Caenorhabditis elegans: one gene and its partners. The protein of the gene in region 1 interacts with the protein of each later gene in a pairwise test. Each region holds a gene or a part of one and is shown on either strand. Other genes may lie near its edges. The genes, in order: klc-2, unc-16 and unc-83.

Region 1 (10,505 bases):
GAACAATTGATTGTCCATGCTCTCCTTGCTCTTCGCGACACACTTCCAGCCGAAGAAAACCTCAACGCTCAGAATACGTCTATTGGAATTGTCGGGAAAGATTCTCCATTCAGTCTTCTCGAAGATGCTCAAGTCGCCGTTCATCTCAACCAAGTTTCCACACATCCACGCACAACTGGCGGAGCAGCAGCAGCAGCAGCTCCAGGTGGCGCCGAACCAATGCAAATGTAGATTCTAATTTGAATCACAGACCATGTGAATTACTTTCGTCTCCATTTCTTTTTTATGTGACCCGTATAATTTATCGCCGGTTAATCTCCCTCTCGTTCCCGAATTAAATTATTTTCCTGCTCCAAAAGATTGATTACATATTAATTTCCTTTTTCCGTTCAACAGTCATGTATATGTTGCAGAAAGAACATTAAAGGAAGCACTTCTCGTCATTCGCGTCCATGCCTTCTGTCCATTAATGATGGATGTCTGCGCCGTAGTACACCACGCACCCGCCGTCTTCCGCTATTCCCCGGCGAGCTGCTCCACGGCATTATTCCATAGTTCTTCTCTTCAGTGTTCCATACACTACTACATCACTCAAATTGTAAATCAGCGAAGAAAGGGGAGCAAAAGAAGAAGAAGGGGAGGAGTGTGTGTGATGCAAGAGAGAAGAGTTTCAAATTTCGTCGAATTGAGATTGAAATCTTCTTTGTCGCAGTCAACTCTTTTCTTCGACCCACTTCTGCCTTTTTTTGTTTTTCGATTGGAGCTCTTGACAATTTTTATACATTTTTCTTCATTTAAAAATCCACAAATAGGTAAAAAAGGGAAGTAGGATTTACGGATCTACTGGAAGTTGTTTTTCTAACAAGCGGTTTTGCTTATTATGATCACGAGCAAAACCAAAAATGTTTCCCAAGCGAACCACAATCAATGCCCGACACCATTGTGTGTGCCGCTTCTGAATGAACTGAATAGAATTCTCTCGTTTCTTCCACCAATTCTTCTTTCATTCCTTGTGCCATTTGTCTGACAAGCGAAGAGAGAAAAGAAGAGCGCCCTTAAATGAATTTGTATCGAGCCAATGGCATCGGAGGGCCATGCGGCTCTGTGTGGCGTGCGTTTCCTCACTTCAAGCACTGCCGCCACCAGCACCAGCACACAATGTTCTTTTCGGCAGGAGGCGAGGTCTATTCAGCACTTTTTCTTCACTTTTAGACCAAGTTTTCGAACACTTTTGCACCGAGTGCACACATTGATTCGTGGAAATGATTTTTTTATCCTTGAAATTGTTTTTCTGAAGAAAATATATCCTGTAAATTTAAAAGTTCAAGTGTTTATTTAAAAATAGTCAATTTAATTTTGGAAAATAAATTTTTTTTAACTGCAAATAAGCTTGTTCGGTCGACTTATAGGCTGATTTACTCATAAAAATTTCAATTCAATGGAAAATATTATTCATTTTTACTTAGACGTCTAAAAAAATACATTTTATTTTTCTTTTATTATATTTAAATTTATTCAAAACATGGTGCAATAGAAGCACGAGCTACAGTAAGTTGCACAGTATGCCGGAAATTGTTTTCTTTAGACGTCTATTATTTTTTCGTGAACAGTCAAACCCCGCTTTAAAGGCACACGATCTTTTTCTGAGTGGGTCTCGACACGATCTCAGCTATAGTGATCACAACAAGTTCCAAATTTCACAAAATTGCTGGTCTTACTTTACGAGCATACTTCACGGGCAAATTTGAGCCAAATAGAAAATTTCTGATTCCCAAAAACAATTTAATATGCCCTTATTATGTAGATGTTTATAAATGGGCATTTCTGTCGAGGGTTTCGCCACGAGAACAGCGAGTATAACTGTATTATGCAATAGTGGCTCATAAATCGACACGAGCTACAGTAACTCCTTGCCCGCGTGGTGAGACCTTGCGCGTAAGATATGGCGAAAATTATCATTTACAGACGTCTACGTAATACATGCTGAACCAAAATATTGTTCGATATTTGACACTAGAGATAAATAACCGTTTTTAACTATAACAAACAGGCCTAAACTTTGATTTTTTGGTAGAAATATATATGCTTTATACATGCACCTCGTAATAAAATGCTATTTCCTGAACTTTTCAAACTCTTTAACTCCTTCTTCTGTTCATCATAAATCTAAACTGAAAAGTTTAAGACACTAATCCTGGAGCCGAATACGAAAAAGTGCTCGTGGAAGCTTTCAAGCTGGATACCATCATGAATTTGGCCGGTTCTACTATTCAGGCATATCGCCAGTAAGTTATATTTTTAATTTGAAATGAGAATTGGAATTTAGAGTGTTGAATCATTTTCTTATCACATGCATTACTCATCAAAAAATGTTTGAAAGTTATTTCCGCTAGGGCTGTAACAAAAAATGTACAGTACATTCTAAGCGGATACCCTAATTTTCAAAAAATTTCAATTTGCATCTACCGTAAAATAAAAATAAAAATCGAAATCTACTTTCCTAGTCCTCTAATTCAAAATTGCAAGATCTTATGACAAGTTTTCAGAAATAGTGAATATATGAATCAAAACTCTTTGCCCAAATTCTAATAATTCATGAGAAGTTTATGTTAATATGTTTTATTTTTTGGTTTTTATATTTTCTGAAATCCCACCTTTCTCTTGAGAAACAAAGCAATTTCGATACTTTTTTGCATATGAAGCTAAACAAATCCTAGATGTATTCTTCATAAAAACTCAGGTGTCCAAACATTGCAATTAACTATGAAAGGATGCATCTTTCCAATTGTTTCGCAATTCTTTCTCGCCTCCGTCTCTTGCTCTCTCATTTCCTCCATGTTGGACGGACGATCAATAGTTTCTATGTTGTCTCTAATATTTCTATGATCTCTCATCAGTGGCTGCGCACGTCTCGCTGTCTATTCGCCGACACGACGAGAGCGGGCTTTCGGTTAATACAACCAAACACTCTTTCCGAACAACGTTATGTTTTACTTGTCCACACTTTATTAGCATCTTTATGTTCAGAACCATTTCTTATGAGCTTTTGCAGGAGAGAAATTATTAGAAAGTTAAAATTTGGTTTCATTTCTGCTTATATTGCGAAATTTGTACCTATAGTGTTGCACATATTTAGCTTATCTTTGACATATTCCAAAAAGTTTCTCAGTTTTCTAAAAGTTTTTCCAAAATTGTTCTAGTGCAACTCAACCTAGCAAAATCAAAGAAATATATTAGTTCTACCACGAAATGCTATTGATTTTCAAAAATTATAGCGCATAGTGCAGCCTTGATTTTTTCAAATTAAAAATTTCAAAAACCGAGTAAATAAAAATTACAAATTTTTAAAAGAAAATATCAATCCACGATGATTTTTATTTTCTCTAAAACGTGTTGAACATTTGGAACATTTTTGCTTTATTTCAACTTATTTCAAAGCAACGTTTCGGTGTAAAATAAGTTTATCGTTATTTTGTGAAAATGTGGAATGTCATTTTAAAGGCACATGCGTATTTTCTCAGGGGGTCTCGCCACGATCTCCTGTATTTCAATAGCAAATGGCAGGGCTGTTATTTAAGACGCCCTCCTCAATCTTTGAGAGCTCATTTTGGCGTTTTTTTTAACTTCAGCCATAAAATTGAAACTGGATAATATTTACCTAAATAATAGATTTTCCAAATTCTTGCACCAAATAGATCTATGGTATAAAACTGTCAGGCTGATTTTCAAATTTTTGCATTTTTTAGAATTCCAAAGTGAGCAGTATTCATGGAAAAATATTTTTTGAATCTAGTTCTACGTTTTTGAGAGAATGCAAGATTTTAATTAATTTTTGTTGTGCCATACTTTGGCATTATTTACATTTAAAAGAAAAAAAGGGTTAATTTTTTCTGATAAATCTGAAATTAAAAAAAAAGACTATCGCAAAACTTATTGAACGACCTAATAGCTATGATCTACATAGATTCAACTGTTTTTACTCACTGAAAAAATTTTCTCGTTAGCTACCAACACTTCTCGAACTTCTTCCAATTACATTTAATAGATTTAAAATTTCAGGCGAAAAATCGAGTCGCTGGCGAAAATGTCAAACATGTCGCAGGACGACGTGACGACGGGCCTACGTACCGTTCAGCAGGGACTTGAAGCTCTTCGTGAGGAACACTCGACAATTTCGAATACTTTGGAGACTAGTGTCAAAGGTATGGCTTTTTTTACGACGAGTTGAACATTTACTAAAATTCAATCATTTAGGTGTGAAAGAAGATGAAGCTCCATTGCCGAAGCAGAAGCTTTCACAAATTAACGATAATTTGGATAAGTTGGTGTGCGGAGTTGATGAGACATCGTTGATGCTGATGGTATTCCAACTCACTCAAGGAATGGATGCTCAACATCAGAAATACCAAGCTCAACGGAGACGCTTGTGCCAGGAGAATGCGTGGCTTCGTGATGAGTTGAGTTCAACTCAAATCAAACTTCAACAGTCGGAGCAAATGGTTGCTCAATTGGAAGAGGAGAACAAGCATCTTAAGTATATGGCATCAATCAAACAATTTGATGATGGAACTGTAAGTTGAATTTTTCGAGGAGCATTCTTAACTTATTTTGTTTGTTTTCAGCAAAGTGATACTAAGACATCTGTCGATGTTGGACCACAACCAGTCACAAACGAAACTCTTCAAGAACTTGGTTTTGGACCAGAAGACGAAGAAGATATGAATGCTAGTCAATTCAACCAACCAACACCAGCCAACCAAATGGCGGCTTCTGCTAATGTTGGATACGAAATTCCAGCTCGTCTTCGCACACTTCACAACTTGGTCATTCAATACGCCTCCCAAGGTCGTTATGAAGTTGCAGTTCCATTGTGCAAGCAAGCTTTGGAAGATTTGGAGAAAACGAGTGGTCACGATCATCCAGATGTTGCCACAATGCTCAATATTTTGGCACTTGTCTACAGAGATCAGAACAAGTACAAAGAGGCTGCAAATCTTCTGAATGAGGCTCTCAGTATTCGTGAGAAATGTCTTGGAGAAAGTCATCCAGCTGTTGCCGCCACTCTCAACAATCTCGCAGTTTTGTTCGGAAAACGTGGAAAGTTCAAGGATGCTGAACCGCTTTGCAAGCGTGCTCTTGAAATTCGCGAGAAAGTTCTTGGAGATGATCATCCAGATGTGGCCAAGCAACTCAATAATCTTGCTCTTCTTTGCCAAAATCAAGGAAAGTATGAAGAAGTCGAGAAGTATTACAAGAGAGCTCTCGAAATCTACGAGAGCAAACTTGGACCTGATGACCCGAATGTGGCAAAGACCAAGAACAATTTGTCATCTGCTTACTTGAAACAAGGAAAATATAAGGAGGCTGAGGAGTTGTACAAGCAAATTCTCACCAGAGCTCATGAAAGAGAGTTCGGACAGATCAGTGGAGAGAATAAACCAATTTGGCAAATCGCTGAAGAACGAGAGGAGAACAAGCACAAGGGAGAAGGTGCAACTGCCAACGAACAAGCTGGATGGGCAAAAGCCGCCAAAGTTGATAGGTATTATGATTTTTATTAGAAAAAAATAAATTAAACAAAACTGATTCCAGTCCAACCGTCACAACAACTCTCAAGAACCTTGGAGCCCTTTACCGGCGACAAGGAAAATATGAAGCCGCCGAAACATTGGAAGATGTCGCCTTGAGAGCAAAGAAACAGGTATGTAATGATGTTTTTTCTGCATTCATGGCTTCTCTATCTAGCACGCTTTACTGCATTTAAAATACAAAAGTTCAGAAAAAAAATTTAGAAGTTAGATATTAATGTTGTAAAATGTTGTATGCGTCCCCGATACCCCAGTGACAAGAATTTGCTTCATATTTACATGTATTTTTGGAACTTAAAACATTGACAACAGTTGTTTCAAACCAGGGGAGTGCGTCAAATTTGCCGAATTTGCCGGTTGCCGAACTTGCCGGACACGGTAAATTTCGAAAATTGCCGCACACATCAAAAATTCGACAATAAAATTTTGACCAAAACTATGTTTCAAACTAACCCGAAAATTAGATGCTGCCTGAACAATGTCTTGCCAACTTTTGAACCAAAATTGGCAAATACTGAAATATTGCACAAATCTGAAGCTCATTCAAACGAATTGTTTTTTAAAATTAAAGTTTAAATTTAATACGAAGCATATTCTTGTCCTCCCCAAGCCCCCATCAATAACAATTCCAGTAACAAAAAAAAACACATAAAACGCTTATTTTTGTATTTTAGTGATAGTGATGTGCTTTAGAATTTGGTCACTCGTTTCCTCTTTTCAGTATTGTTTCCTCTTTCAGCATGAGCCATTACGAAGTGGAGCGATGGGCGGAATCGATGAAATGAGCCAGTCGATGATGGCTTCTACAATCGGTGGATCCAGAAACTCGATGACAACGAGCACATCTCAAACTGGATTGAAGAATAAACTAATGAATGCACTCGGATTCAACTCTTAAGAGCATCTCTTTGCAGCACTGACTGAAAACCGCTTATCGTTCTTGTATTAATAAGTGCTCGTTGATTCAAGTTCCAAATTCTGAAATTTTGTCTCAGATCTACGAAAACTTGCTTTTTTCTTCTTTCGTTGTGTTGTGCATGATTCTTTTTTTTTTGATTGATTTTTCTTTCTGCCCCATCCCCTCATTCACAAAATCTTGTTCATAAATAATAGGGTTGAATAATTGAATGTTTCCTTGTCCGCCCCCACCAACTTTTTGGTAAAGCTTTATATTGTCTGCTTCGAATTTTCTTTTCAAGCAAAAAAAAAAACATAATTATAACAAGCTGAAAAATCGTGTTGTTGTAAATAAAGGGTTTATTTTTGAATTCTGCTTGTTACAAGAAAAAGAAAACTTCAATTTCAGATGTCCGAATCTCGAAGAATGGAACGATCCGTTATGTATTGATTGTTGCTCGACATTGTACTCCGTCATCAAGCTTTACACTTCTTCGCAAAATTCCAAAAGTTTACAAGTTCTCATTTATTTATATGTATCAAGTTCTAATTAAACACTGCTTTTCTATTTTTGTTAGCTATTCGCATAATAACATTTTTTTTTAATTATAAAAATGTGAACCCGATTAAATTGGAAAAACGTTTCGAGAAAAATTATAATTGCAAAGATTCATGATATTTATTCAATAAGACTTGAAAAACATTTACCCTGATATTCAAAAAATTAACAAAAAACAACGGTCAAGTTGGTGATTATGGGAAGGGGTTTGTATTCTATGAAGAACACGGAGAGATTAACATGAGCGGTACCAAACCCTGGTACCAGGGCTTCCTGCTGGCAGGAAATTGTCAAATTGATAACCCATAATCTCCGGACCGAAGTGAAAACTTTAGTAGTCAACGTTGCTTATATACCCAACGATTAGCAAGCGACCGACGTTTCGAAAGAAATGACAACCAAACATTGGGCGGAATTTCGTAATGTTTGCAATTTGAGGTGTAGTGGTGTATAGCAGTGGAAAAATGATTAGAAAACTGTAGTAGGCACACAAACTCCAAACAAGTCCTGACGTTGCTGGAGTTGACAATTTTCTGATAACACTTTTAAAAAACCGGGATAAAAGCGGTTAACGTAGAGGAAAGGGGGAGCAAGGCTAATGTGGAAAACGGTATATGCTTAGTTAGGGGTAGCCGACAAATTGTGGAGTATGTACTACATCGACAAAAATAAATATCACAAAGCTTAATTCAAGAGATTATTTCGCTGAAGTATTCAAAGCGTCGAAAAATATTTTTTATTATGGTGACATGAATTTATGATTTAATTTTTTAAAAATATTTTTTCTCCTTTTAAAAATATGAAACCCACTCCAATAATATTTAGGTTTTTCAAATTTTTAAAGAAATAAATTGTAACTTTTATTTAAGAAATTGCGAGGCGCGTTTAAATCTGATACTCAAATGCGTAAAAGAAAATTGTAATTGAAACAAAAAACGTGTAGAAAAACTGTGATGTTAGATCATTTCACTCGGGAATCGCTCGCCCACTATGGGGGAGTCTACGCAAGGACAACGCAAGGACAAGAACAACATTCTAATGGAATGGAAACGATTGCCCGACTGCACCAATTCTAGTTCAAGCGAACAATGATAACTTTTGTATTCTGTATTCCTTCACGTCTCCCAGCGAGCGTAATAAATTATTATTATTATTATTTCATCATTATAGGAAATTTTTGAACTCTCCTCTGTTTACAAATACCAATTTAACAAAGACTGTATTACTGTTTCAACAAGAAACAAGAGCTAAACGTCACGCGTAATGACCGTCTATTTCTCTTTCTCAATGACTAATGCATAGAGTGCCATAGATATGTGAGAAACTGTTTTCAAAAAGATCAGTGAGATCCAGTGATCTCGTGGGAGGGCACTCAAGAAACTGAGAACTATTTGTATATAAATAGAGCGAGGAATGTGTTGTTTTTTGTTCGTAAACCATCCCTCTCGCCAGTCGACACTTTCCATGTACTTTGCTCTTTCACTGTAATAGATCTTTAATCAACATACATTGTACCATTTTGCAAATCCACATTTCGATATTTGTCATCTTTGCTAGATTGTTGCACGAATGAGAAAAGTGTATCTTGTCTTGTCCTTTTTGTGTGTCGGATATGCTTTCAAGTTACACGCCACTTCAACAACAGTTAGACAGGGGAGTAGTCAAGTGACATCAAAACTTATCCAAACAGATTTTGATTTGTGATACCACTTGTATGATTTGGCTCTGATATAAAAATATCATTGAAAAGTCACGGAGAGTACCTTTTTCTCTATTCTGGTTACCATCAGTTGCTCCTAACAACTGGTCATGCTTCATGCAAATTCAAAATGAAAGTCTAATGTAGGCGATATTTTGGCATTTTTTCAAGCATGTAAAATGATAAAATGTAAGGTTTCTCAGTAAAGGCTCTCGCCAAAAAGTAGAAATGTTAAAAACGTACGCAATAATATCGTGGCAGGCACTTTCCATGCCTCCGTGACATCATCATGCCTGCCTACTTACCAGGCGAAGGACGCCACGGTAGGTATTCTTTTTGACAATTTTTTGAAGATGCACATAGTTGAATTAATTTTAAAAAATCTCGGTACTAGTCCTGAATCACCCCGCCACTTTTTTTTTTATTTGTGTATTATTTCCCCTCATTTTAATATTATCCATTTTAATAAAACGTGATGTCCATTTTCCATCTTTAGGCTTAGAAATGGTTATTTCCTAAGCCTAAAAATACAAAAACTCCACACGTTTTTATTTGAAAAAAAAAGAAAAAAAGTGGCGGGGTGATTTAGGACTAGTACCAATATCTCTATCATCTCCAAAGCTAAGCTTGATTCTTCTTTCCAAAAAAGTTTCCAACTAGTTAATTTCAAAAATATTTTAAATAAATATTTTTTAAAAATTAAAGATTGTTCCCCATCTTAGCTGAAACTCACACATTCGTACTAAAACGATTCTAACTTGGCAATTTAAAGCGAGTTTTTACCAAAGATCCAGTAAATAAATATCTCTGGAAAACCCTCACTTTTTTTAATAGAAAATTCCTTTTGTTTTTGTTTACCGTCATGAAAAAAGAAAAATCCAATTGTTCTTCAATTTTTTTCTCATTTTCTGGCCAGTATCCTGTCCATCAAATACGATACATTCACTTTTGTAGCATCAAATGAGTCAAAAAGACACACAAATCTATCAAAGGTGATATACGGAAATTCATTGCGTGCTTCTCGGTCTCCAACACTCTCCTTTTCTCTTTTTTTTTGCTCCAAATTCGTTCATCCTCTCTCCCTCTCATCAAATAACGACTTCCGTGAGAGCTCACATAAGCATAATTCAAGCGACAGGAGCTGGATGAGGAGGAGCACCTTTTCTCGTCTCGAGGCTTTCAATCTCATTTCTTTTTTCATCAACTAGAAGTCTGATTCGGACCCGAAGATTAGTGAAACGGATTAGTTGAGACATATCAGACGGCTGTGTACTCAGGATTTACTATATGAATGGGTCATGTGGTTTTGTAATTTCACACATTTTTTTCAGCAGAACCTTGTTCTTCCAGTTTTCACTAGTATTTTCAGCAAAATGATTGGCTTAACTGTGATGTACACTTTAATTTTTTCAAAATGACCAAAGCTTATAAAAAGACACCTAACAAATTGTAGATTTTTAAATTTCCAGTCAAAGGTTTGGTAAATTGCCAACATTCGAGTTCCATTATTGTTGTGCAATTTTCAAATACAGATTAAACCCAAATAACCAAGAAAGATACCCCGAAACTCGTTGTTTGATAAATTACGCACTATGTACTTGGTTTTATCGTGAGAACGTGCATTAGATAGAGAATAAATTTACATATATTCTCATCAAATATTTTCACTACCAGCATCTTTAATGATCATATCTTCTCAAAATAGCATAGCACCTCTCATGTTGCTCGAAATTTCATGTTTTGAAATTTTTCGTTTGCTCTA
Region 2 (10,387 bases), on another chromosome or scaffold:
ATTGTGCACACATCTAAGGCGTTTATTTGAATAGTTCCAGTCAGATATTTCTGTCTGAGCTCCGTCTCCTGTCCCGACTCTTTTAACCAAACTCCAAAATCCTCCAGATACCAAACCGCCAAACTTTGTCCCGATGTTTTTCCTCTATCCGGCATCGCTTTCATCATATCCACAGCCATTCCGTAGATGTTGACTCCTTTAAATGTATAGATTATGAATGAGGGTTTTTTAAAGTTTTTAATAATAAAAGAACTTTAAAATGTTTACCTGATCTATAGTCCTCGTTGAAAAATTCTCGATTTTTGGCTCGAACTTTTCTCTCCCGCTCAGACTCGGGTCCATTCATAATTGCTTTCAGAACTTCCCGGCGTGACTTCAACGGTTCGGCGTAGTCTGTTCGATATTTTGCCTTTTTCTCGGCTTTCGTTAGCTTTCTTTTGTACGGTTCTTCTTCCATTTTCGAAACGGACAAGCTTGATTCTGTAAAAAGTATAAATAAATATTTGTCGAAAAGTTAGTACAAAAGAAATTAATCAAAGAACAAGGAAAACGTGTTTCCCCACGAGAATTCGTATTACGGAGAGGAAAATCTAGAAACGGCCCAAAAACCGAAAGAACAACAGAAAAGCGTTGTGGATTATTCGATATCCAGCACTTTTTGCACAAATTGAGGCAAAAATAATGGAAAAAGAACCAAGAAATCAATGAACAAAATGGAAAATGAATTTTTAAAAAATTGTCGATGGTATTTAAGATGTGCAGGTTAGCGAATAGTACTGTATCACGGCGGCGATTCAAATGATCTACGAAGCAATTACACGAGGAAAATTAATGGAGATTATGGAGCAAATTGAGGGAATTAATTATAGTATAAAAGTTTCGAAAAGGAAAATTATTATTTATTATCCTATTTAGTTCGCCACACAATGGGAGATTTTAGATGCGTAAATAGTTGAGAGTAGAAAGTAAACTGACTGACTCAAAAAATATGTTTAAAATGTTTATTCGAGATTGAGAAAATAAATTAAATTTCACGAAACCTTTTAAATACATAAGTAAAAAAATGTTTTGTTTTTAAATTTGCCACTATCAAAACTGTCTAACTCTCTAACTCTTATCTTCTCTGCGTAACGATAGAGCGCGTTTACATCATTATTTTTTCATTAAATTTTTTCTATAAATATTTCTTCTTTCTACGACAAACGTTCTCCATTATTGTTTTTGCAGACTTTTTCCATCTAACATGGTTCAAGAAAGCATTATTTCATCTTTCCGTGGAAAACTTGAAAACGATCCAAGCAAATCAACGAGTCTAGCCACAGTGGAAACACTGCTCGAGGTTTTAGACCGGAGTCGCGGTAAGTTCCTGAATTTGAATATTTAGGCAATTAATTTTTTGCTTAATTACAGCCACCACCGTTGCCGAATTTCAAAATGAGCTAAATCAAGTAGTTGCTGCTCTCGAGAAAACGGACTACAGCTCAACATCAATTCGAAGTGCCGCTGATTTGTTCACCAGATTCACTTCTCTGGCTCCAGCTGCTCTTCTCGATCAAGAAGATTTTTCTCAAGTTCTTGATCTGTATCGCCAACGAGCACGCTCATTTATAAAGAATGTCAGAGGTTCTCGAGCCAAAATTTCCAAGTGCGCTCGTCTATTTTTCACTCATCATATGGTACGTTTTTTTTTCTATTTAAATAATTCCTATTTAATGTATTTTAATCTTTGTATTTTCTAGAATATTCTGACACACTCATACAGCAAAGTGGTTCTGGAAACTATTCTTGATGCTCACAAAAGTGGATATCACCTTCATGTCTGGGTCACCGAATCGCAACCGGATGCTTCAGGAAAACTAGTGTTTGAAGAATTGAAAAAGAATGGAGTTCCAACTACTTTAGTTCTAGATAGCTGTGTGGGGTGAGTGGAAATTATAAAAAACAATAAGAAAAACGTATATACATTTTTTATTTTTTAAGATATGTCATGGAAAGAATTCAAGCAGTTCTAGTTGGCGCTGAAGGAGTCATGGAAACCGGTGGAATCATCAATAAAATTGGAACTGTTAATGTTTGTATCATCGCAAAATCACGGCATGTTCCCGTCTATGTTTGCGCTGAAACTATCAAGTTTGTACGGGAGTTCCCACTCAACCAGGCCGATATTCCCCAAGAATTCAAAGTAATCAATTTATATCAAATAACTCAATCAGATCTTTCATTATTTCAGTATCGAACATCAGTAATTGAGAGAAACAACCTAGAATTGGAGCATCCCGATGTGGATTACACCGCACCCGAATTTCTGACACTGATCATTACTGATGTCGGCGCAATGAAGCCTGAAGCTGTTGGAGAAGAACTCATTAAAATGTATATCTGAGGGTAGAAATTTATTTGAACGTGTATTTAATTCAATCAAATTAAATTAATTTGTTCTTGTTTTGTTTTTTATAATTATGATTGGTTTTTTTCTTTTACAAAAATAAAAAATAACGTGGAACCCAAAACTATTCATTTCGAGTTTTTAAAAACGCTCATTCATCAAAAAGATGAGTGAAAAGCACTTTATTTTGCCATCTAGCATGCTAATGATAGTTTCGGCTGTCTTCGGAGGTATCGGAATCATCACTACAATCGTGTTCGTGATTCTGACAGTTCTTCATTCAAAAAGTGCGGTTTGTAAACCTGCAGGTTAGTTTTTGTTGCGAAATTGTGCAATTTTTACCCAGAAAGTACGGTTCCCGGTCTCGACGCTACAATTGTTAAATTCTGAAAGGTGTGTGCCTTTAAAGTGTACTGTACTTCGAATTTTTAGACTTTTATTAGTTTTTCGATATTTAAATATTTATTTATTTATCTGAAACTATGAAAAATCGATGCAAATTCCATAACAACGAAAATCTGAAATTACAGTACTCTTTAAAGGCGCACACCTCTTTGGATCTATCAAAAACTTTGCCGTATCGAGACCGGGTATCGTATTAGCATGACGAAAATCGCAAAATTATCTGGATAATATAGTAATGCTGAAGAATAAAAATTTGCACATTTTCAGGCAAAGAAGACATGAAAAAACTGAACGGTATCGAAGGAATGCAAACGATCAAAGAAGAATGTGGAGGATCAACTGAAACATCCTCGTCGAAACCGAAGAAAAAAGCCAAGAAAGAAGTCTGATTTTTTTTTTTTGAATAAATTTTAAATTTCTTCGTGAAGACCTTTTCTACGTTCTTTTAATTTATAAAATAGACAACACTTTTAACTTGATTTCCTACTCATTTCGTTAAATTCAAATCTAGCAAAAGGGTTATACGGTTACAAATCTTTGTAAAGTAGAAATATGCTTTTGAACAAACTCATTGTGGCAAATATTGTGAGTTTCTAGTTTTCAGCAGATTATTTGGGAATCTTCTTGGTTTTCAGATGATTAGTGTGACTGTTCTACTCCAGGGAACTATTCCAATGGGGTACGTATCTGGACTCGCGTCATTTTGGATGGTAAATTCTCATCTTAAAGACGTTCCTAACTCTACGTTTTCAGCTCTCAGCAGGTAGCGTTTTCCTCGTACTCGCAGTCATCACATTCATCGCTCTGTTGTTTTTGAGTCGATCTAAATGCATGTTGGCAATGAGCCAAAGAAAAGTAATTCCTAGTTTTAGAAAGTTATTTTACATTCTACAAAAATTTCAGTTGGCCATCTATCATGCTCCAGCACCAGTCACATCGTTGCTTTCGCTCATCTTCTTCATCGTGTACACATTCAGTGCCAAAGCTCCCCACGAGCATACAGCAATTAAAAACTGCATTGTGCTTCTGGATGTAAATTATATTAATCGACATGATTTTCTCTTTAATCCAACAATTCAGGTCGGAGTGGGAATTGTTCTGATGATTTCTCTGGTGCAAGTGCTTCTAGCGTTCCTGAGCCACCCGGAATATCCTGAGGAAGATAATGATGAACGTTGATTTATTTCGTAATAAACTGATTCTTTCGTATTTGTTTTTTCATTGTTTTAACACATGTTGTCACACTAAATTCGTGGTTTTGACGCAAAAATAGCCTAAGAAACACATAATTTTGATAGAGTTTATATAAAAATTCGTAATAGCGGCGCAAATTGAAATTCTATTCATGCAAAACTTCTAATGAAGTGTTTTTATTCTGAATTCAATAGAAAAATAAATTCTGAAGCGCAAAACGGCAAAACCCACTCGACATGCGTGTAGTGCGTGACGCACAAAACGCTCCTCTTCCGCCAATTACCGTATTCTCTCATCCACGAGATTCACACATGCGCCCAGCCTTCTTTTATTGATTTTCTGTCGCCGCGGCGAAGGAGTGGCACTTTATTTACATAGCTTTTTTCATTGCAAAGCACAAAAGCAACATAATTTGTAGAATTGTCTCGTCAACTTGCTCTCACATGGACCAATAATCGACAGAACGACTGAAAAAATGGCTTGCAATTTGTCACCGGTGAATGAGATGGCAGACTCAATTACGAGCAGCACACCGTCTGAGGTAAGTGGTGGCAAATGAACCATTGTTGCAACCGAGTGGCAGCAGCAGCGTCTCCCGATAGTTATCTCGGTTCTCTTATCGTCGCCCCCTACTACTATTCCTCGGCCAGTAAATACCGTTATGTTTCTCTTCCGCACTTCTCTCTTCATTATTGATTGTCGCTAGACACAACAAAACAGTTGGGACGGGTAATAGGAGGATTTTTTTATGCTGCATTCGATATTGATGGGAGAAATGTTATCTCAGATTGTGTACGGCGGCCCCGGCTCACCAGATGAGCATCGAACAATGTCGGATAAAGTGCAGACAATGGCTTCGGCAATTTATCGAGAGTTGGAAACAATGATAAAAGTTCACGGAGAAGATGGCGTGAAAGTGAGTTTTTTCGGAATTTTACTTTAAAATTTATTTAAATGGCTGTTTTCGCAAAAAATGTCCCAAAACAACCGGATTTCATAATAAGACTGATGGTTTTGAAAAAAAAAACGCTTTCTTTCTTCTGAAATCTTCAATTTTGCCAACTTTTCCGTGTCGCAACGGCCGGAAATGAATTTTTATTGAGCATCATTTCGATCTTGCTTATTTTTAGTTGCCTATCGCTTCAAATGTACCAAACTCAACGAAGTAACACGAGATAAACGACAAAATAAGCGAAAATCGAATGAAAATAAATTTCCGACCGCTGTGGCACGGAAAAATATGCAAAATTGTAGATTTTAGCTCATAGTTAAATATTTTTCAAAACATAGAATCGTCATAATTAATTGAAGAACTTTTAAATGATATTTTTACGAAATTCGGACTTTTTAGACCATTTTTTGATCAGAAATTGAAATTCTATGTTTTTACTCTACTTCAATACTAAATTCAGTATGTTAAACCAGTCAGCAGGTAAATTTATGCTAATTTTCTTCTCTCTTTCTCTATTATCATTCAATAAACTAAACATTTTCAGACTCTGATGCCATTGGTTGTAAATGTGCTCGAAGCATTGGATCTTGCCTATTTGGAACGTGACGAGCAGACTGCAGAACTTGAAATGCTCAAAGAGGACAATGAACAGCTTCAGACACAATATGAACGTGAAAAAGCACTTCGAAAGCAGACAGAACAGAAATATATTGAAATAGAAGACACGTTGATTGGTCAGAATAAAGAGTTGGACAAAAAGATAGAGTCACTTGAATCAATAATGAGGATGCTCGAGTTGAAAGCCAAAAATGCCACTGATCACGGTTAGTTTGTTACAGTTAGTTAATTGTCACCTCAATTATTAACTCTTGTGTTTTTCTTGGATAAATTTTTAAAAAAAGTATTATTTTTCAGCCAGTCGTCTGGAAGAACGTGAAGTGGAACAAAAGCTCGAATTCGATCGTCTCCACGAACGATATAATACTCTATTACGAACCCATGTAGATCACATGGAACGTACAAAATATCTAATGGGAAGTGAAAAATTCGAATTAATGCAGAATATGCCATTGCCAAATATGCAACTTCGAAACAAGTAAGTTTAATTTAATTAAATTTAAAAAAGTGATTAATATTTGACTGTTGTGTCGTTGTTTGTAGTTGGTTTCCAATATCACATCGCTTACATAAGAGTGGTGATCAAAGTAATTTGTCATTGTGAGTTTTGTGTCTGGAATTTTTGTTATTTTTCGGGAAGGTTTTTTTATTTTTCAAATTTTTGATTTTTTTTCGATTTGGTTATCCTCCACTTCACTCCAAATTTTGAAGCGCATGAAGAAATAAAAATCACCAATTTTTTTGAATTTATTTTATTTTCTTGATTTTCCAAATTTTTTATCACTGCTCTAAATGTCAGAAAAGAGATCATAATTACTGTTTAAAAAAATTTTCTAAATTTTTATGTTTTCTCCAATTTTGCAAAAAATGCGATATTTGTTGTTAAATTCCCGCAAACGATATAGATCTTTGAAAATGCTTCAATTATATTTATTGTTTAAAAAAATTGTATAAATTCGCTCATTACGATATACAATTTAAAGCAAAATTCCCAATTTTATCATTTTCCAAAAAGAATTTTGTTAGGCAAACACTTCTTCCACCTTTAATAACTTGGTTCGGTCCCCTAAAATCAAAATTTTAATTTTTAAAAGATATTATTTAAATTACAGAATGGGCATGGCTGCTTCTGTGGATGCATCATCAATTCGTGGAGTATCTGATCTTATTTCTGCTCATATGACACAATCAACCACGATGGATGTTAATCTTGCAAATCACATCACAAACGAAGGTGAGTTTTTTACGCGACCCTTCACAAATATGTAAAAATACAAAAAATTCTATATATCGCAAAATTTAGTTTATTTATTTATTTCCGATAATTTTTAACTAACATGAACTCGAATCCTCAACTAACCTTTATTGGTATGCCAGTTTTCTTCCGATTTCCATGCTGCAAAGGTGCGGCACGGGTTTTCGCAACCGCCGCGCGTTTTTTTAAAACTTTTTTTAACAGGAAATTTCCAACGGATTTTTTTCTGTAAATTCACTTATTTTCCAACTGCATTGGTTTATTGCTCAATTTTTAGACCTTTTTGGCTTAAATAAACCAGTTCAGTTGGAAAGAAATTTTAAATTTCCCATTAAAAAACCATTTTTAATTGTATTCCGTACGATGTTTCCTGTTGAAAAGTGAAAAAAAACCCGCTCCGCACCTTTTCTCAATGGAAATTGCAACCCTCATTCTTTTAAATCTTAAAATACTAATTTTCCAGACTGGCAAGACGAATTCTCATCAGATATCGAACCATCACCCAGGGATATTCCACAATCATCTGCTGATGCGTTGACTTCACCAATTACAACCAAAGAGCCGACTCCTAAACGAGAAGCTGCTTCACCGAAACAATCAGAAGAGGAAGAAGCTGACGAGACAACTTCTGTGTAAGTTAATTATGATTTTAAAATTTTATTAGGAATTTATATAAGAGTTTTGAAATCTATTCCAATTTTTCAGAGATCCCAAGGAAAATAACGATTTGCTCGGTGCTGATCTCACAGGTTGGTTTTTTTGTATTTAATAATTAAAAATCAAGTGAAATCGTCTAATTTATCTATTGTCCATCACTAATTAGAGTGTGTCGTTTCATTTTTTTTCACACTAACCTAATTTCTTCTTCAAATCACACAAACACGGGGACTTTTTTTCATTTTTGACAATTTATCGATTATCCACACATAATTTGACAGGAAATCTAGTGGATCCAGCAGAGTTCGCCTCAGCGGGTAAATTTTTAAGTTTTCAATGTTGTATTGGTCCTTGTGGTCCTTGTTCTTGCTTGCTTTCGGCCAGCTTTTGTCCGGTATTTCACCACACTGAAGTCTACAATGCATGCATTTTTTCACTTTCCCCGTGCACCTTTTATATAGATTATGTTGTAGAGAAAACACGTGAAAGCTTTTTCAAAATCTCGGTACCCTCTAAAGACACAGTAAGTGTGTACACACAATATTTAAAAATTAGGTCACACCCATAAAATGGTTTTGCCTCTCATCTTATCTGAGCTCACTGCTAGCGTGAGAGGCGGAACCCGGTAGATGTCGGACCTTGGGCGTGGCGTGATTTTTGAAATTTCTGAATGTCTATCAACTTAGTCGCTATTCCCTCAAAATTTTGGTTTCAACCTAAAAACTAGATGTTGTATTGTATTTACTTGATGTGCCTTTTGTGTTTTGTCAGATGACGAATCGGATTGGAATGGTCTTGGATTAATACCACGAAGACATCGACCAAATGAAATGCTCGACGATGATGACACTTCGGACGATGGAAGTTTGGGTAGGGAACACACGTAGTTTGGAGCATGTGCATGAGCGCTGGCCATTTTTTTTTGAGTTTTGCATAATCGATTCTATATATATCTCCATCTCTCTCTCTTTTTTTGATTTAACATTCTCTATTTTTACAGTTAACGACACGTTCATTGGTAAGTTAAAGCAAAAACAATGTCGTGATTGTGTTTTGAAGCACTTGTTTTATATTAAAAAGTTTAAAATTGAAATTAAAATTAAACTCACATATATTTATGTTTCACTCAATTGGTTTCGTCACTATTTTTTCCGAAATTTATTCCGTTTCATCACAGAGACATTAAAAAACAGCATGCAATTGATAGTTTATGAGAATCTTCCTCGCTATTAATTCAGAATATTTATTAAATTTATTAATTAGTATATATTTAAACTCGAAGATTTTCATGCAAGCGCTTACCCTGTGTTATCGAATGACTTTCCAACACGATTTTTCAACTTTTATTCTTTAAGGAATGGGCCGTGAAGTCGAGAACCTGATCAAGGAGAATTCCGAGCTTCTCGATATGAAAAACGCGTTGAACATTGTCAAGAACGATCTTATAAATCAAGTCGATGAGCTGAACAGTGAGAATATGATTCTGAGAGATGAGAATCTGAGCCGACAAATGGTCAGTGAGAAGATGCAGGAGCAAATTACGAAGCATGAGGAGGAGATTAAGACGCTCAAGCAGAAGCTTATGGAGAAGGAAAATGAACAAGAAGAGGTTTGATTTTTTAAAATTTAGAAGTAAAAAATATATTTTGCTTCAAAAATTCCAAAAAGAGTGCCCTAGATTCCAAAATACCACTAAAAATCAAAAAATCGAGGAAGATTGAAAAATCTAATTTTTTAAAGTTTATCCACAATTCATTTGAACAAATCTCTTTTTAAAAGTGGGATTTTTGATTGTTTCTGAATTTTTTAAAAAATGCTTTCAGGATGATGTTCCAATGGCAATGCGAAAACGATTCACTCGTTCAGAAATGCAGCGTGTTCTTATGGATCGAAATGCATACAAAGAAAAGCTTATGGAACTCGAAGAGTCTATCAAGTGGACTGAAATGCAACGAGCAAAGAAGATGCAACAACAGCAGCAGAATGTGAATCAGAAGAAATCTGGCGGAATTTGGGAATTGTTAGCTAATTTATCGCCGATTCGTGCTTCTTGATCCTTTTCTCTTTTTACAGTTTCTCAAGTCTCCTGGGTGATTCAGTGACCCCACCCGCATCGTCGCGGGGAAATCGTGCAAGCTCATCGCGCGGCAAGATGACTCGCTCTGTGGAGTATATCGACCCAGACATGTTAGTTGTTGAAGAGTAGAGATTATTTTTTGTTGGGCACGTAGTATGAATGGTGTTGTTTTTTCTTTTTTCTAGGATTCATCTCTCCCGGTAACACCCTCTCATCCTGTGATGCTTCGAAGACCAATCTGTTGAACTCTCTATCTCTCTCTAAATAGAACTTATAATTGCACTCACTCAACACCTAGATTCATAATGAACGCACTTATAAACAGCTTTAACTATACATAAAATCAACAAACATTTGGAATCCGATCATTTTATGCACCCGCATTTTCCCAGAGACTTGGTTTGATCTTTTTTTGAAACTAACCTTTTTAAGTTGCGTTACAAAATAATATTTATTATGGGTACGTAGAAAAAGAGCCTTTGGAAATCGGTGTGGAAACGCGCTCCATGGTCATTAGAAACGCTCCGCCCATAATTAATGGGTCTCATTAGGTGACTTTTTTAACTAGATTTTCCAATTATCGAGCATTTCCGACTTTTTAAAAATAATGTTTTCGTTGTTTTTCATGATTTTTGAATATCTAAAAATTGGTGAAATAAAATTCATAAACATGTACAAAAATAATATTACAAAAAGTTGGAAATCCTTGAAAATTGGCGAAATTGTCGTCAAAAACCCAATGAGACCCATGGTTCGGAGGCGGAGCGTTTTAAATTGACCGTGGAACGCGTTTTCATGTAGATTTCAAAATACATTTTTTACGCCCCCATAATAGAATTTTGC
Region 3 (10,131 bases), 890 kb from region 1:
AAAGTTTGAAGCTCAAAAAATAAATTCTTTCTTATATGTAGTTAGGTTTTTTCTAAAATTTTGGCAATGGTGAAATTAAAATTTTTGCTGATTGTATATTACAGAGTTTTTCTGAAGAAACATTGATTTATGAAATTACATAAATTTCTCTTTTGGCAGAAAAGATTGATCTCTTTTTTTTTCAAAGATTGATTTAATAATTTTCAAAATATTATTTTCCCCTACAACTATCTCTTACACGACTATTCCCCTTCATGCTCAAAAGTAAGTAGTTTTCGAGAAAATAATACGCTTCTCGCAATGCTCTATGCTACGCAAAGACTCCGCGAGCCAAAGAAGCTACCGTTTGCGTAAGGTTTAACACGCAGATTGCTCATTTCGCGCATGTGCGTGAGTCTATCATGACGAACAGTCGCCCTGTGAATTGCCACCCACTTCGTGCTCATTTATAGATTTGTGCACTGATTAGAAGACACTTGATTTGTTTTTTACTTGTTCCATTCAATTGTAACTAAACAAATCTTTGTTCTTTTCCTCTTTTCAACTTTTAATGTTGACATTCTGTGTCTTTTCACTAATTGAACAATCTGCTAATTGCAGCAGCATTTTTTGTTCTAATGGCTTTGAGAGGCGATAAAAATAGTGACGTCTCTTACAACTTGTTCCCACTTTTTTCCGTTCTAGATCTGTTTCGTCTACTATATTTTAAAATTTTTCCAACTGCTGATATAGTGAAATTTTAAGAATGAATCTATAATAATGTTTTGAAAGCAAATTTTTTGTACCTCTAAATTCCCCAAAAAATTAATTATTTAGGTTTTCAAAGATTCAAATAGAGAATATATTTTGCATCACATAGATTCTTAAAGCACATAAAAAATTCCAAAATTTATTCAAAACGATAATATTAATATTGGAAGTTTTCTCTTCTCTGTTAAAGTTTTTCATACCTAATTAAAAAAAATAATTTTGAAATTGCCTCTAGTGTTAAATATTGAGTTTTCGCTTTTATATTTTTCAAACGTTTTGAATAAATATAATAATTTTTGGTATTTCTCGTGCGTTTCTTTCTATTCTTACTATAACAAAAAACCTAAAATAACGTATTGTGGATGTGCATTAAATTCATCAGTAGTGAAAATTGAAAAATTTCTTCAATGATTCATAACATTTTAACTAGAAAATAAGCATACTCGGATTAGATAACTTTTCGGTTTTTGATGTTTTCCCGTACAAGTCCAGTTAAAAACCAAAAAAGTCACAACTCAGCACATAATAAAAGAAGTCATCGTGACCATAAACGGGTCCATTTTACGATCTCGTCGCTCGTGATTGCAGCAATCATCAAGTCGCAGTTTTTACGTATTTCCGCGACCACCGGTGTACCTGCTTTTATTTTTGACCGAAAAATTGGGACATCACAAGAAAAAGCGTTAAACCAAGCACTATAGTGAGCTATAAATCTACCTGTTGGAATGTCTCTGTTCACCTTTTGAATTGCATTCCACTCCCTGTCCCCGCATGTTGACCACCCATTCAACATTGATTCGATTATTATGATGGTAATTTCGTATCAATGTCGGAAATGTAATCCGAATCCCTTCTGGATGAAATAAAAAAAATAGACGGAATGGAGAAAGTGTGTAGGAAGCATTGGTTTGTTGTCTGAATCATCTGTACTACCGCCATCAGCCTCACCCTTCACAAAGATCATTCCAGCTTCCCATTTTTCTTTTATCCGCTAGAAATGAAGCGTATGGAAGGTGATTTTTGGGGATTATATGTACTGTTGTATTGGACTGTAACAAAGTACGTCTAGATTCTGCTAACCTAGAGGCTCTTGAAGTTATTTTCTCTCAACTCCATTTTTGGTCCGCTTTTTAGAGCTGCAAATATTTCGAGCACTTGTTGACAATAAATAAAGTGGTAGTTTTTTTATAACAGCACAGTTATAATAGGCATTTGGCTCTAGTTTCTTGGCCAAGCTTGGCCCAAAAATATTAGCTTACTATTAGAACAAAATTTGGTAAAACTTGGGGAAGAGTTGGTTTAGGCTATGATGAAGTGTAACCCAACTTTGGCCGAAGTTTTGTCCAAAATTTTTTTGAACTTGGCAAGAGTTTGACAAAAAATGGGTCAAACTTGACCAAATGTTTCCAAAGTCTTCCCAAAACTTGCCCATCGTTTGCCCAACTAGTCCCAACTTTTGACACAATTTAACATTTATTGAGTTCAACTTAGATAATTAGCTAGAGCCAAACTAAACATGTTTTTGACATTTGTGATGCTATCAGAAAATTATTTTTATGCAATTAAAATAAAATAAACACTACTTACTAATTTTCTATAGAACCTCGTGTTCCTTTCAAAATTACAATACGATCCATCTTGTTCCCACAATCACTCTGCTTCTCAATCATCTGTCTATCTATGTCAGTCTCTATAAATATATTCACATGATCAATTTCTCACATTTGAAAAAATTGGCACCCAGCCAGCAATGTTGCACTGTCTTCCTCTCAACCCTTCTACTCCCACACGCTTGCCCTAGACTATCATTCTTCAAAAAGAAAACTAAAAACAGCTCGATAATCGAATGTGTGTCTCCTGATGGTTCCCACGTCGTCAACACAAACTGTTTGACTTTTTCAATCATGTCTTTGACTTCTTCAACTGTCTGCGTTTCTTCCACACATACACAAATTATCATTTCTTTGTCGTTTTTTGTCTTGGTGCTGACCGCCTTTAGTTACAGGCGCCCGTTGTTTTCTTGCATTCCTGCCAATTTTCACAGTAGCAATCGAGATAGTATCAGGTGGTAGTAAATGTTTACGTGTCGACTGAGTTTTTCAACCTTTATGACTCCATTGGCATAGGAGTATCAAGTAAATTATCAATGAACTGATTAGCATCATGTTCATTTTGAAGATGACATTGTTTGAAAGGTTTTCGGAGAAAAGGAAGTATTCTGAAATATTGGAATTTAAATTAATTTCTATTAATGTGCTTACAATTAATATTGAAATTTTAAAGTGTTTTTGGAAATTCTCTGCTGGCATTTGAACACTCAAAATTCTTCAATTAACTGATCAGCTCAGGCATAATTTTCTTTTGAAAACTTTTTAATGGCTTTACGCATTTTGAGAAGGAGCTGAAGTTTTCTAACTGTTTTTGAAAGTGTTACCCCTCTATGAGTCACTGGGGGCAAACGAGAAGCGCAGTTTGGGCGACATTTTGTTGCATTATCAAATAAAAACGGTTGTCTCTTCTTTTTTATTATCAACCAATGCAGAGCCAACATTCTACCAAATTGATAGTAATGCAAGTACTTGCCGTAGATTCCCTCAAACATTTGAGACAAAGGGCCTAAATAGTTTTAATTGTGAAACAAATTAGACACGACGTTCGAAGTTTATTCTGCAGTTTTGGTAATGCGTTGTAATTTTGATGTTAGTCTAGAAACAAATGTTTTCTTTTTGAAATTTTGCAATGTTCTTCAGAATATTTCAAGTATGAAATTTCTAAATTGTACTTCAAATCATTTCTAAAACTCGTAAAACATTCGGGCACTACAAAGTGTTCCTTTTCTACTTTAGTATCACAATGTTTCGCACATTGGTGATAAATGAGCCGGGGCTGTCTGCCGTTTCCGACTCCATTAACTTGGGTCCATTATCCCATCGTTTCACTGTGTTTCTATCACATTTATTGGGGGAACTTCCTGTTGCAACAAAACCAATAAATTCGAAAAGTGTCAGGGCCATGTGCTGTTGGACATCTATTCGTGAACATTTTCAAAATTTCGATTTGTTCCTTTCCAGTTTTCCATAGATTCAATTTTAATTGAAAAATGAATGGGTGGAAACTTGAATTTAAAAAAAAGGAATTTAATTCAATTTTCAACAAGTTCAAAAATATTTTTTCCAACGTTTTGTTAATTGATATTTTCCAGAACTTTCTAAATCAAGTTACATTTTTTTTGAAAGCTACAACCTATTTTGTAGTAATTTGGAAATTTCTTGGACCTCGTTGTGATAATTTCCATAAATTTTGCTTAATATTTTTTATTGGAAATCACGAGACTTTTTCACACAAAATAAAATCTTCCAGCTGATTTCCCTGGTCCAATCTCTTTTTTATCACTTTCACACCTATCTCTTCATATTTTCATATCTTCATAAATCTTCATAAAAATTCATAAAACAATATCTCCATCATAATTATCATCTTTTATTATTTTATCAGGTGTCGAAAAGAAACGAAAACTGTGTGAATGACATGATAATCCATCATCATCACAAGCTTCTCTTCCCAACTCTCTAGATTCTCCTCTCTCATCAGTATTATTGTTTATTAAGGCGGAGACTTCGGATTGGGGGGCAGATTTCGAGCATCTCACACTTTTCTATGTTTATCTTTTAATTTGCGAACATTTTTGCGGGCGATGGCTTGTTGTCCAGGGCATGAAATCCATGGATTTTTATTTGGATTTTCAAAAACTGGCCTAACAAATTTTATGGAAACCGTACTATACATAAGTAAAACATTTATGAAGTTTTTCGTGTGTTTCTACATTTTTATTAAAAACATTTTTTATTATCTTTAAAAGGATGTTTTACTGCTCGACACAATTTTCATAGATTTTTGGTAAACTAGGCTAGTTTTGAATTGAGTATATATTTTGCAAATTTTCTATCCTCAATATGACTTGAATTTCCGTTTCTTGACTTTGATCTCAACAGAAATCTCTTCTTGAAATTTATTTTCAGCTCCAATGAAACAACTAATCTCTTTTTCTTTGTTTTTCACGAAATTTTTCCTATTTTGTTCTACACACAAAAAATTGTATATACTTTTTCTATTTTTAAATTTTCACCTCATTTCGTTTTGATTAAGTATTTTTCCGTCTAAACTAAATTTTTCCAGATCCGTTTCTCATCCGTGATCATATTGCGCAGATGCGTAATTGATCGTCCACCCCTACCAGTACAGTATCCCACGTCTGGATACAAACTTCTCTGATTTTTTTATTTTTATTCCTGGACACCGAAAGTAACCCGAAAACAGGTTACGAATGGACGTAATGGACTCATTCTCGGAGGTCGAGATGCCCAATGATATATCATCGGAGGACCATCTTTTGAAGGTGAGGCAGAGCTTTAAATTTTACGAAAAAAAAATACTTTAAAATTTTCAACGCATTTTCTTGCATATTGAATTCATTTGAAAAGTAAAATTTCGTTAAAAGTAGGAGAAAAAAAATTAAAAGTTCGATTTCTTTATTCAAACCAAAGTAGAATGTAGTTTTTTTCTAAACCAAAACGAGCGAAAATAATTTTATTTTTCAAATCTATTTGATTATTGAAAGTGCCTTTTTGAAAAATGCTTGAGCATTTACCCTTGCGCCATCAATTGTTTGCAAAAAGCTGTCAAAAAGCCCGAGAGGCCGAGTTTTCAATTTTGGCGCAAAAAATCCCGAATTCCACGCTATCTTTTTTTTTCTTTCGATTGACTAAAGACGAACGGCTGAAGTTTTTTTTCGCTGTGCTTCAAAGATTTATAACTGGAGGTGGAAAGAGTTAGTGTCGCACATTCAAATTCCGCATCGTTTAGTTTTTCTTATCGAATGTTTTGATCTGGTGGGGGACGACGAAGTAAATTGAATTGAAAACTGTGGTTATCTTGAAAAGAAGTTTGAAGGAGAAAGTGTAAAACTATTGATGACGGGAGTTTAAATTTCAAGAGATTTTAAGACATTCCCATATTTCAGTGTGCGAAAATTTATCATTAAAAAATATTAATTATTTCTATGTGCTAAGTACATTTATTAGCAAAAAAGCGCAGAATCAAGTTCAGACAACATAATTATATTGATCTTCAGAGATTTTGCACATAATTTTGAGAGCCATTTTTCAGGAAAAACATAAAAGTTATCAAAATTGGTCCGCTAAATGATGTGTAAAACCTTTAAAATGCGATACTTTTTAATATTTAAAAGATTCGCATGAGAAATAATTGACTGACACCTTAGGTTCCTTGTAAAATATTTCATTGTATTATTAGTAAGTATAGGTATTTCCCAGATTTCCTTGTTAAGGTACCGCAAAGTCAACACATTCATGGACACCTTTTTTTGTTGACTTACCCCATATTTCTCTTTTTGTTTCCAAAAACAATATGCGGACCATTGAATCCTCACGCCATTCACACACATTCCCAGAGCGCGACTACTAGTAACTTTGTTTGGCAAAAGCTGTTAGTAAGAAGAGAATGATTCCGAGTGCCCAATACCATAAGTGTTTCTCGAGGTGCGCATCTCGGCAGTGAAGAGCAACTTGCAAGTTCGAGTGCATTTCTCCAAACTTGGTTGTTCCTACACAACGATTCCTGTGCCATGTTCCTTGATCCTCTCAATTTTGGCAATTGAATCGATTAACGTCAGGTTTACTCTTCGTTTTATTGCAAAGTGGGCCGCCCGGAAGGTCGAGAAATCGTAAATTGACTCGGAATTACCAATTTTACAGTCACACTGAAAGCAAAGCACTTCTTTTTGGTAGAGCGGGTGGCCATTGATTGTCGTTAAATCGTTTGTGAGGGTCATTTAGAAAAATGGGCGCATATTTTAATTTTTCAGAATAATTTTGACAATTTTAAATAATGAAAATAACAAATTACATTTTTTTGAAAATCTTGTTTCACCTTTTTTGGTTTTTTATTTGTATCAAATTATAAACTGTTTTATTAAATTGCACTACGCAGCTGTACAAGATCGAATTGCGCGTGTACAACCATCGTTAAAAATATCTCCTAGATATCTTTCCAGCTGTTACTTTGCCCATTTTAATGATCAATAATTTAATTTCCAGGTCATCGAATCGTCGGCTGAGGAAGTGGATATCTTTTTGGAGAACTGCTCCTCGCTCTACAATTTAATCCTCGACTCGTTGCACAACCTCACCTCAAAAGTAAGTCTTATTTGTTTTATTGCTTGTGTCGTTTGGTTGCCATGGATCAAGTGAAACTGGGAGAGTAATTAGGTGTAGCTGGCCTCAAAAGAACCTCCTGTTTTTCTCGATTTTCTTCTAGTTTTTCTTTGAACAAAGTTTTTTGCTTAGCCCTCTGATATCAAGATCAAGTTTTGCAAACTTGAGGCAGTTGTCCATTTGATTGAGCAAGAGATAGCAATAGTTTAAGGGGTCATCAATTATCAAAAAGAGAAACGTTACGAGCCTGTCAATTGAACACAAGCCTGGTACGAAAATATTACGGCAGATGTGGTGATGGATAACTGAAAACATTCACTTGACAAGCCTTTTGCCTGTGCTTTAGGGAATTTTTGAATCTTCCAAATACAGTTTTTACATAAAGTTTACCAGAATTAATTTCTGGTTGAAGTTTCAAGACTTGTTGATCTAGGAATGATAAATTAAAATAAACCCTTCCCATTCACAAAAACATAGCTAACTTATTCTTGCTCTAACTAGTAAGTTTTGTTCACTCCATGAACTACATCTAAATTTAAGCGGTTAATCATAGAGTAAACAACAAAAAAAAACCAATTTTTGAAGGTATAAAGTTGTACTTCTCAATATCCGATGATTAAAATTTTTAAAAAGAAAGTATCCTCAAATCGTTTGCTCTTTTTCAATGAGATAACAAATGACCACTGCAACTCATCTCTCTGTGCTTCTTATCCTCCCACACTCATTCAATATACTCACCCAATTTTTGTGGCAATTGCCGTTTGTTTGGAAGGTCACCCATTAATCAAATGTAGTTGGTTGATTGTGCAACCTCTACTACTAAACATTTTGATGAAGATCCTTCATTTTATCTGCCACTGACTCCTGAGAAAATGCCACACATTTCGATTCAATTAGCTTTCCTAAATTATTATACCAAATAGTATCGAATAACATCTCGCCCCCCGAACCACAGAAAAGTGGCCCCCAATAGTGTGCGCAGTTTTGCCGTTCCGAATGAAATTGGAGATTGTTGAGAACCAAGAGATAGATGGGAATTGAGTTGAAGTTATTGTTAGAAATTTTAAACTTTTCAATGATAAATTTTGACACAATAGGGGATCAGGTTGTAATTAGAAGATTACCAATTACTTTTTATTTTCATCACTCCAAAAAAGTACAACTGAATTTTTCAAATATCTAGTGGTAACCCGAAAAACTCATGTCAACTTTCTGAATCCAAAAATGCTGCAAATTTCTTGTCAAAAATGCTGTCCACAGCAAATCCCCAATGGACGTGTTCCGATTGAGGCAGTGTTTGCTTACTTGGGATGTGTTACTCTCGTTTTCTTATTCGAACGTCCTCCTTTTCTTTTGGGGAGTAACATAATCCCGTTCAGACAGACACAGATTGAGCAGATCATTTGTTTCCTTTTAAGTGGGTTGGCACATTTTGCTCTTTATTTTTCGCTTTTAGATAACTGAGATGCTAATTTTTTTCAGATCACTTAACTTCTTTAGTGAACTTATAATGTTGTTTTTGAAAAATTGTTTCCAAATTCTCAGAAAAAGATATCAGAATCTGGATATTTTCAAATTTTAGAACGAGGCGCACTTTTATGTTTTTTTCAAAACTTTTTCAATGTTTTTTTAACTGATTTTGTAAAATTCATTTGCCTTAAATATCAAATTTTTTGAAGCAAAACATAATGAAATTCTTCTCAAACTTAAAGCCTTCCATCTTTAGTTCCAAAATTCGTTCCGCATTGAACAATAACAAGATATAGGGGCGCGAACATGCGTGAAGAATACGAGAACAGTAACGGAAGAAGAATAAGGAGAAAAGACACGGAGTCATCTCATGTTTGCGGATTGTTAGTTATACCACCATCGGGCACCCGAGTTGTCGTTGAGCATGCTTAGCGACAGGAGCACCAGCGGTACACTTCACGCACCCGATACTCGTCTTATTCGTCCACTCGAAGGGGGGCTTAGACTCACTGTACTCTTCGTTCTAGGTTAGAGCATTAGGGCAAAAACTATTTCATGAAAAATTAGAAAATTTTCGAGGAAACCTCTAGTTTCCATTGCTGGGTTTCTGTCTTTGTCTCTGGTTCTCAGCCATCCTTCTGTTACTTCTTATTTTTATGGCATTATGTTTTCGCGTTTTGGCAAAAGTCTTCCTCGATTTTACAACCGCCACATGTTTTGATATTGTTGCACATTTACTCTGATTACATTCCGATCTTACTCAAAAGCTTTCACATTGCCTGTCATCACAAAGTGCCTTCTTCTTCTCCTCCTTCCTCATCTCCTAATCTAAATTAATGAGTTTTGATCGGACGTTTCCATGGGGGTGTGTAATAAAAATAATGAGCTGGTGTGCTCTTTATCAACAGGGCCGATCGAACCACTTACCGCCATCCATCTTCTGATCCGACTTCCACCACCACCACCATCACCTTTCTTCAATTCCGTTGCTTTTCGTTTGGAAGTGTATTTTGGAAATATGTCACATTATGTATTCATTAGCAAAACGACGCAGTCCGTTGGTCTGTTTGACAGAGAGCTGACAATATGCATCATATCCATTGAAACTGAACCCAGTGGAGAAAAGAAGCATTGTTTCACTGAAATGACTCATTCTCCAGGTTGTTTCTTCTGTTCGCAGCGTCGTTGGTGAAAGTTTTTGTTTTAGCAATTTTCCAATTTCGGCATTTTTCTACCAGACCCTACAGTTACCTACCTACTTGCACAACTCAGTTCCAATGGAAACATTATTATAATTGTCTTATAACCTTATCAGTTTATGCAAATAGTGTTCCCTTTCCTTGGTATGTTCATAACTAATGTTCCAGGCAGAATTTGTATTCTCGACATCACGTTTTGAAGAATTTTCTACAATTTTTAAATAGTAACCACATAGTAACCACTAAATAATAAACACATATTTGTTACTACCACATTTCCAATATTGAGCCGGAAAGCTGACCACTTCTTTTTATTTTCCGCTTGCTTGAACAACCACCACCTCCTTCATTAATTTTGGGTCACCACTACTAGTTTGCCCGTCATCGTAGTGGGAGAATGAATGAGTTTTTATCGTGGTATGATGAGATTCTGCACATCTGGAGCCCCCCGCACACACACACATACCACCCGGTGCGCG

Evidence for each region.
Region 2: the proteins of klc-2 (region 1) and unc-16 interact in binary tests that used the Caenorhabditis elegans proteins (3 or more experiments, as listed by UniProt).
Region 3: the proteins of klc-2 (region 1) and unc-83 interact in a two-hybrid assay, tested with the Caenorhabditis elegans proteins (2 studies listed by BioGRID).

What each region holds. Positions count from the first base shown.
Region 1 is NC_003283.11:5,573,084-5,583,588, reverse strand, and holds klc-2 (Kinesin light chain), read left to right. Parts: upstream 1-4,084; coding exon 4,085-4,202; intron 4,203-4,254; coding exon 4,255-4,571; intron 4,572-4,622; coding exon 4,623-5,542; intron 5,543-5,592; coding exon 5,593-5,701; intron 5,702-6,327; coding exon 6,328-6,486; 3' UTR 6,487-6,852; downstream 6,853-10,505. Other genes in the region: pas-6 (Proteasome subunit alpha type-1), read left to right, coding at 1-231. UniProt on the Caenorhabditis elegans protein: Kinesin is a microtubule-associated force-producing protein that may play a role in organelle transport. The light chain may function in coupling of cargo to the heavy chain or in the modulation of its ATPase activity.
Region 2 is NC_003281.10:9,541,899-9,552,285, forward strand, and holds the start of unc-16 (JNK-interacting protein), read left to right. Parts: upstream 1-4,396; 5' UTR 4,397-4,460; coding exon 4,461-4,526; intron 4,527-4,772; coding exon 4,773-4,901; intron 4,902-5,481; coding exon 5,482-5,761; intron 5,762-5,852; coding exon 5,853-6,033; intron 6,034-6,098; coding exon of another isoform or gene 6,099-6,155; intron 6,156-6,667; coding exon 6,668-6,789; intron 6,790-6,892; coding exon of another isoform or gene 6,893-6,923; intron 6,924-7,273; coding exon 7,274-7,442; intron 7,443-7,515; coding exon 7,516-7,559; intron 7,560-7,748; coding exon of another isoform or gene 7,749-7,784; intron 7,785-8,238; coding exon 8,239-8,337; intron 8,338-8,467; coding exon of another isoform or gene 8,468-8,485; intron 8,486-8,822; coding exon 8,823-9,076; intron 9,077-9,290; coding exon 9,291-9,487; intron 9,488-9,540; coding exon 9,541-9,654; intron 9,655-9,729; coding exon of another isoform or gene 9,730-9,748; exon of another isoform or gene 9,749-10,387. Other genes in the region: Exonuclease mut-7, read right to left, coding at 1-196, 268-457; eif-2Balpha (Translation initiation factor eIF2B subunit alpha), read left to right, coding at 1,244-1,358, 1,411-1,676, 1,740-1,921, 1,981-2,182, 2,231-2,383; ZK1098.9 (uncharacterized protein), read left to right, coding at 2,553-2,694, 3,059-3,180; ZK1098.12 (DUF2975 domain-containing protein), read left to right, coding at 3,344-3,376, 3,427-3,501, 3,545-3,646, 3,695-3,823, 3,872-3,970. UniProt on the Caenorhabditis elegans protein: The JNK-interacting protein (JIP) group of scaffold proteins selectively mediates JNK signaling by aggregating specific components of the MAPK cascade to form a functional JNK signaling module.
Region 3 is NC_003283.11:6,460,139-6,470,269, forward strand, and holds the start of unc-83 (Nuclear migration protein unc-83), read left to right. Parts: upstream 1-4,926; 5' UTR 4,927-5,074; coding exon 5,075-5,146; intron 5,147-5,295; exon of another isoform or gene 5,296-5,495; intron 5,496-6,248; exon of another isoform or gene 6,249-6,429; intron 6,430-6,866; coding exon 6,867-6,965; intron 6,966-7,826; exon of another isoform or gene 7,827-8,035; intron 8,036-8,171; exon of another isoform or gene 8,172-8,311; intron 8,312-8,454; exon of another isoform or gene 8,455-8,594; intron 8,595-8,805; exon of another isoform or gene 8,806-8,954; intron 8,955-10,131. UniProt on the Caenorhabditis elegans protein: Cargo-specific adapter that is involved in nuclear migration during development and thereafter.